2 linked regions of the Macaca mulatta genome follow. The protein of the gene in region 1 purifies or fractionates together with the protein of each later gene. This does not show direct contact. Links are inferred from orthologs where the notes say so. Each region holds a gene or a part of one and is shown in the gene's direction. Other genes may lie near its edges.

Region 1 (3,744 bases):
TCTCGCTCTGCGGCCCAGGCTGGAGTGCAGTGGCCGGATCTCGGCTCACTGCAAGCTCCGCCTCCCGGGTTCACGCCATTCTCCTGCGTCAGCCTCCCGAGTAGCTGAGACTACGGGCACCTGGCCCAGCTAATTTTTTGTATTTTTAGTAGAGATGGGGTTTCACCGTGTTAGCCAGGATGGTCTCGATCTCCTGATCTCGTGATCTGCCCACCTCAGCCTCCCAAAGTGCTCGGATTACAGGCATGAGCCACTGCGCCCAGTAACGTTATTTTACTAAATCCTGTCTCTGAATGCAAGGGATACCTGGCCTGTTTTTATTCACCATCACTGTAGGTTGCTGAGTAAATGCTGAATTAATGAATGCATCACTGAGTCAGTGACTGATTGCCTTCACACAGCGAGTGCTGGGCTGGGATCCTCCGTGAATCTGGGGAGGTGAGGTTTGCAAAGACAGGACGGATCTGGGGTGGGGAGATACCCAGGCTAGGCTGGCACTCAGGGGAGAGGACAGAGGTGAAGGGACTTAAAAAGCACCTAGAGATATGCCTAGCTCTACCTAAGACTCTCAGTTAACCGCCTAAAGTAGGGACACTTTTTGCCATTGCACAGGTAGGGAAACTGAGGCCCAAGGGCATTAACCCTGACCTGGCCTGGAGCCAACAGAGGAAACCCTGTACAGTTTGATGCACAAATATTTAAAGAGTTCCCACTAGGCTCCCCGACCGTCCCTAGGAGCCGAGCTGCCCCTTGACCCATTCCAGGCCTCAGTTTCCCCGCCCACACTTCGCCCCCGCCTCATGGGATTCTAAACTGTCGCCGCAACGTGGGAGTTGAACGGAAACTACAACTCCCAAGAGGCCGTGCAGCCAAAGACACACGAGAACTACGGAGGGAGAGTCTCGCGCAGCAAACTGCCGTTCTCGCAAGGCTCGGGCTGCCCTTGGCGCTGCCGATCCCGGAAGTTGCTGCATTCAGGCGTTCGCCGACGACAGCCCATCGCGGGGCGGGGTTACGTGGAGGGGGCCTGATTGGGAGTCGGCGCAGGCGCAGTCCGCGCGGGTTCTCGCAGGCAAAACGGGTGCGAGTGGCGGCGATGGACGACGAGGAGGAGACGTACCGGCTCTGGAAAATCCGCAAGACCATCATGCAGGTGAGCCGCGCGTGGTGTTGGGGGCGGGGGCGCGAGCAGCAGGTGCAGGGGCCCGAGGCGAGGTCGAGCTCGGCGTCTCCTCGTACTCCCGTCGCAGCAGCAGCGACGGAGGGCCCGGCCGACACGGGAGGCCCCGAGGCCGCCGGGGATCCCAGGCGCTGGGCCCGACCTGAGCCGGCAGCGGGGAAGGGAGGGGGTTTCGAGACGTCTGGGTGCGGGGCTTAGCGGTGGGCGGGCGGCTTGGGCTGGTGCGGCGCACATGGCGGCGAGAGGAGGAAGGTGCGAATGGGGACGGGGGGCGCCCCCAGACCCTGCCCCTCTCTGTGATTCAGCGTCGCCATTTGTCCTTGCGTCCTGAACCCCAGGGCGTCTCAGCATCCGAGGCTGGCGGAGTTGGTGGTTGGGAAGCAGCAGGCGAGCTGGGGCTTTCGATGGGGACGTGGAGCCCGGAACCCGTGCCTCGGGGTCTGAGACAGATGGAGGCCACTGGGCCGACTCCGGTTTGGAAACTGGGCAAAGGTCTGAGGGCCTGCGGTTCAGGGTCCTCCCTCAGCCGTTGGGGCCGTTTGGGAGCTTTTGTTTTGTCTTGCTTCCCCACCCCCTATGCCCTTGTCTTTAGCGAAGCCCCCCGCAGCCTGATTCTCCTTCCTCCGGGCCGCAAACATTGTCAGCCTGAAGTCACATTTGTTTCGGTCCCTGTCTTTTTTTTTTTTTTTTTTTTTTTTTTTTTTTTAAGAGACAAGCTCTCACTCTGTCGCCCAGGCTGCAGCGCAGTGGTGCAGTCATAGCTCACTGCATCCTTGAACTCCTGGCCTCAAGCAGCCCTCCTGCCTCGGCCTCCCTGAGCTCTGGGGTCGTGGACGTGACCCCCCACGCCCCGTCTTTGTCCCTGTCTTTAGGGTAGCTCTGCAAAGTGGTTTGGAGGGCTTTGCCCCCTGCCAGGTTCCTGTGAGGCTGGATAGACGGACGGTCTTGGTCAAGGCTGGACACCTCTGCGAGCCTCTCGGGATCACGCTGGTCCCATCCTGTGGTGTGGGGCTGTGGGGGCCAGGATGGCTGTCATGGGGCACACAGCGAGTGTTCATTCCGTTTGCTGTTCACCTCTGTCCTCTGCAGCAGCCGCAGGTCTGACTTCTGGGTCACGAGCTCTGGCCGCCTTCCTGTCTCTGCCCTGGGGTCAGCTGGTTCTTTCTCTCTGCAGCTGTGCCACGACCGTGGCTACCTAGTGACCCAGGACGAGCTTGACCAGACACTGGAGGAGTTCAAAGCCCAATTTGGAGACAAGCCGAGTGAGGGGCGGCCGCGGCGCACTGACCTCACGGTGCTGGTGGCCCACAACGATGACCCCACCGACCAGATGTTTGTGTTCTTTCCAGGTGAGCAGCGGGTCCCGGGGGAGTTCTGGTGGAGCCGCCCGAGCACCTGCTGAGGAGCCGGCCGCTAGCACCCACCCCCTCCCGCCTCGTGCCCAGCGTTTGATCCTCTGCCCAATCTGGGAGGAAAACTTCCCCTCCTCTTCCTTGCTGTGGGCGATGCCGTGGACCTCTGACCCCTCTCATGCGCAGCCTCTTTCTGGTTTCCCTCTCATCGGTCCCCTTTCTTCCTGCCAACCAGGAGAGTCCCATGGACCTCCCTACTCACCCGCAGCCCCTCATGACCTTTGCCCTACCTGTGTTCCTTGGCTCCCCCATCCTGGCCGTTGGGTGCACTTCCAGCTTCTTGGCCTGGCCCAGGAGGCCCCGTGTGGGTCAGCGCAGCCTCCTTGTGAGCTGTGGCCCCTGTCTGCCCCAGCCCATTCCTCTGCACCCCATGCCGCCTCTGCCTTGTCAGCGTCCGCTACTCATCCCTCGAGGTTGTGCTCAGGCCGCTTTTCCCGGGACCCCTGGGACCCTCGGTTTCAGCACCTGGACCGTGGAAGTCTCCCCACCTGTCTGCCCCCCCCCAGGATGGCTCTAGCGCCCTCAGTGGTTGGGGGACTACCAGCGCCTAGGGACACAGCCGCGTGCCCAGAATTAATCAGTGGGGTGGACGGAGCGTGTCTGCCAACCGGGTGATGCTACTGCTTTTTTTTTTTTGAAAGTCTCATTCTGTCACCCAGGTGGTGCAGTGGTGCCATTTCGGCTCGCTGCAGCCTCCACCTCCTGAGTTCAAAATTCTCCTGCCTCAGCTTCCTGAGTAGCTGAGACTGCAGGCACCCACCACCATACCTGGCTATTTTTTTTTTTTTTTGTATTTTTGGTCGAGATGGGGTTTCACCATGTTGGCCAGGCTGCTTTCAAACTCCTGACTTCAGGTGATCTGCCTGCCTCGGCCTCCCAAAGTGCTGGGATTACAGGCGTGAGCCACTGCGCCCGGTCTTCTTTTTTTTTTGAGGCTGAGTCTCTCTCTCTGTCACCCAGGCTGGAGTGCAGTGGCGCAATCTCGGCTCACTGCAACCTCCACCTCCTGGGTTGAAGCAATCCTCCCACCTCAGCCTCCCACAAAAAGCTAGGTTTACAGGCATACACCATCTCACCTGGCTACTTTTACTTTTTTTAGTAGTGTTTATTTGGTTTTTTGAGACGGAATCTCGCTCTGTCGCCCAGGTTAGA
Region 2 (3,744 bases), on another chromosome or scaffold:
AGCTTGACAGAGAATGCCTTCCCTCCCACGGCATTTGGGACGAGACTGAAGGAAAGACACAGGCGGGGTTACGGGAAACCCATGCTCTGCGCCATCTGGACAAGCTGAAGTCAGTGTTTCCGCTTTCACACGAGGTAATGGATTATGATGGGCTCAGGTCCCCTTTAGCTCTGAAACAGGTATTCTATGGCTCTAGGTAAACACGGCATGAGACAGGTATTTCTCTGGTAGGATCAGTTGTATTTCCCAGAGAATAAAACGGGCAACAAACCATTTATCGATATGTGAATGGTCCCCTAGGCCCTATTTGGGGCTGGATAAAGAAAAAGAAGGTTTGCTTCCTTTTTGGCGGGTCCTCCAACGACAGAGTTCATGGCCCGCTGCGCGTCCAACTTCCACCTCTCGTCGCTCACCGGAGGACGAGCGAGGCTCTGGGCGAGGACAGCCCCTCAACCGCACTCCCCAGAGGGAGCGCTGTGACTCGCGGAGATTAGTCCCCGGTCATAAACAACCTCTCACTTCCCCTCCCCCGCGCCCGCCCGCGCCGGGGCGGCCCTACGAGGCCCAGGAACCTCCTCCAGCGCCCGCGAGGCCCCGAGTCCTCCTCGGAAGGGCGGCTGCGGACCTGTCCTCTTCTCCTAACCAGGTGTTTGTCCACTTTACTCAGCCCTTCTTACTCGTCCACAATACAGCCACCTCAGAGGGGGCGCTGACGCCAGCCCCTTTTTTCCTTCTGTCGACCCCAATCACCTCCAACAGCCAGAGGCCGGCGGCCCTGACGCGCAGGCTCACCGCCGCGGCCGGCGCGCGCGCGGACGCGTCCCCCGCCCCCACCTCGCGGATCTTCCGCGGTTCGGCCCCGCCCCTTCCCGAAGCCCGCCTCCGGGTCGGCCCGCCCGCCCGCTCGCGCGCACCCGACGCCCCGCCTCCGCGCGTGCTCAATAACTGTCCCCGGAGCCGGCCTGCAAGCTTCCCCCGCCCCTGAGCTGTTTAAATATGCTAATGAGAGGGCAGGGACTAGCCAATAGAACGGCGAGGCGATGTATCACGTGGCTCGGGGACGTGTCAGGGGCGGAGCCTCCGCAGCCCCTGCCCGAGTTAAAATCGGAGTGTGAGAGAGAAAAGCGCTTCAGTAGCGAGAGGGGCTGAGAAAGTGGTGACACTGCCGGGGTGCGGAGGGAGTCCCTGAAACTTCTCCCAACAGCCCCAGGGCCAATCTCCCCTCAGCCCACTCCCCTCTTCGCCAGCTCCCAGGTCCCCACTCCCTGTACCGGGGGTGGGGTGGGGAGCCAGGCCCGTCTCCCGCTGGGACACACACAGGGGCCGGGAGCGGGGACGGGACCCCCGAGGCGGGGGGGACGGACCGACAGACAGACGGCTGGGCGCCCGCCCCAGCGGGCAGGCAGGCAGGAGGAGGCGGAGGCGGGGGTACGACGGGGAGGACTGGGTCTGGGGAGTTTCCTCTCAACTATCGGGGGAGAAACTCCCCGCAGCCGGAGGAAAGACCCAGACGGTGTTTTCCTCCCGGGGGCCGCGCACCCCCGCCCCGCGTAGCGGCGGTCGCCGCCACCGGCGCCTCCACCTCTACCATCTCCTCTTTCTCCACCACCTCGGGCCCCGGTGTCCCTGGCCAGCACTATGCCCATCTTACTGTTCCTGATAGACACGTCTGCCTCTATGAACCAGCGCAGCCATCTGGGCACCACCTACCTGGACACGGCCAAAGGCGCGGTAGAGACCTTCATGAAGGTACCGACTGACCGAGTCCGGGCGGCGACCCCGGCCCGGCGGCCCGCGGGAGGCAGGGTGGGGGAGGGCAGCCAGGGCGGGGGTGTCGGGGACCTGACTGCGGGAGCTGCCGGGCTCGGGGACCCCCTCCCCCACCGCGCGGGCGGGCGGGCGGGCGGGCGCTGCGAGCCGGGCTCGGCCGGGGCCCGGATTCCGGCCCCGGGCGGTGTGTGGGGAGCGATCTGTGTGTTGGGGGCGGCGTGGAGGGGTGGCCGCTGCGTGTGCGGTACTGTGGGGGCGGCGGGGCAGCTGGGCGCCCCTTCTCCGCCTCGTAACCTCGCCTCTGTGCTTCCCTCTCGCCCGCCCTGTTCCTCTTCCCGTCCCGCAGCTCCGTGCCCGGGACCCTGCCAGCAGAGGAGACAGGTATATGCTGGTCACTTTCGAAGAGCCGCCCTATGCTATCAAGGTAACAGCCCTCGCCCTCCCCCTTTCCTCTCTTCCCTTCCCTGTTCCTTCCTCGCTCGCCCTCCCCGCCCCCCCATTCACCCTTCATTATGCTCCCCTCCCCCACCCGCTGCGCTCCCAGCCGCTGAGGTCTCTTCCCTGCGGGCTCCCACCCCCTCCCCCGCTCGGCAGCGTCCTAGCGCGGCGCGGAGTCGCGGGGCCACCGCCGTCCCCTCCCGGCCCGGCCCGGCCCGGCGGCTGCGGCGGCGGCGGCGGCGCTGCGATCAACATGGCCGACATTTCCCCTCCGCGGCGTGAGCGGCAGCAATGAACTGTGGGGGATATTTATTCAAGTTAGCCGGAGTGACAGCCGGGCCCGGCCGCGCACAGCCCCGGTTTGCATTAAAGGGGAATCGGTCCGGCCGGCACGGGAGCCAAATACGGGGCTGCCAGGATTGGTCTTGTCAAATTCGTCCTAAGAGGGCCGGTGGGACAGCTGCAGGTTAACTTCCTAAGTCTGGCTCCCGTCTGCTTCCACTAGTACGTTCACATATCCACATTTTGGGTATTAGATTAGGTAGTAAATTTGTCAGTGAAGTTATAAAGTATTAAGGTTGTTAACTACCAAAACCTAGAGAGGAAGCAGGTTTATTCCTGGGCCACCTTTGGAGGAGAGTTTCCTCAGCAGTGGTACAGTATTAACACGTTAACCAAGCCAAACCAACCAAAAGTGAAGCTGCTACTTGGTGACTGTCAGATTATAACCGCTGTGTGTACATGGCTTTAAAAAATGAAAAAAAAAAAAATCTTACATTTTTCTTTTCAGGCTGGATGGAAAGAAAACCATGCAACGTTTATGAATGAACTGAAAAACCTTCAGGCTGAAGGACTTACGACTCTTGGCCAATCCCTAAGGACAGCTTTTGATTTATTAAATTTAAATAGATTAGTAACTGGCATAGACAACTATGGGCAGGTAGGTTGAATAATAAGGTGGCAAAATAGTTGATTTTTCATTTTGTGGAAACACAGTCCAATCCAAAAACTACATAACATGAAATGCACGTATAAAACATTCCAGATTAAAATAGAATATGCACATTGTTCAAAGGCAAAACTCTTACCCTACTATATATATTTTATGTCCCTCATTTTTTCCCCTTTTAAAATACATTTGTATTCAGGATTAGAATCTGAATCTTTTGCTAAAAATTTGACATACATTGATTTTAATCCCTTGAAAGTTCACTAAAGACCTAAAAGGGAAAGCGTCCTATCTCACCACACTCAAGTTGTGTGTGCAACTATTGTAGTGACTTACAGACACTAGTTAGTGGTCTTCATTTCTATATTAGTAAAGATGTTAGAGGAAATTAATCTGTTTGTTGCATCAGGGTTTAATGTGATCATGCTGTATAACTATTCTGAAAGGTAAGAAGATTTTCACTGGAATACAGTCACTGGCTGAGAACATTAAGTTTTCTCCTTTTGAAGCATACACAGTTAACTATTGCAGGAAGAATTCTGAATTAAATTTCAGGCCTAGAGTTTTAATTTAAACTCCAAACCCTT

What was found.
Region 2: the proteins of POLR2E (region 1) and INTS6 purify together in Homo sapiens (affinity purification with mass spectrometry; 3 studies listed by BioGRID and IntAct, with this or other methods). This does not show direct contact. The link is inferred for Macaca mulatta from reciprocal best matches to the Homo sapiens genes POLR2E and INTS6.

What each region holds. Positions count from the first base shown.
Region 1 is NC_133424.1:1,752,980-1,756,723, reverse strand, and holds the start of POLR2E (DNA-directed RNA polymerases I, II, and III subunit RPABC1), read left to right. Parts: upstream 1-1,051; 5' UTR 1,052-1,096; coding exon 1,097-1,153; intron 1,154-2,354; coding exon 2,355-2,529; intron 2,530-3,744. UniProt on the Homo sapiens protein: DNA-dependent RNA polymerase catalyzes the transcription of DNA into RNA using the four ribonucleoside triphosphates as substrates.
Region 2 is NC_133422.1:30,689,520-30,693,263, reverse strand, and holds the start of INTS6 (integrator complex subunit 6), read left to right. Parts: upstream 1-1,126; 5' UTR 1,127-1,638; coding exon 1,639-1,749; exon of another isoform or gene 1,750-1,943; intron 1,944-2,116; coding exon 2,117-2,194; intron 2,195-2,998; coding exon 2,999-3,148; intron 3,149-3,744. UniProt on the Homo sapiens protein: Component of the integrator complex, a multiprotein complex that terminates RNA polymerase II (Pol II) transcription in the promoter-proximal region of genes.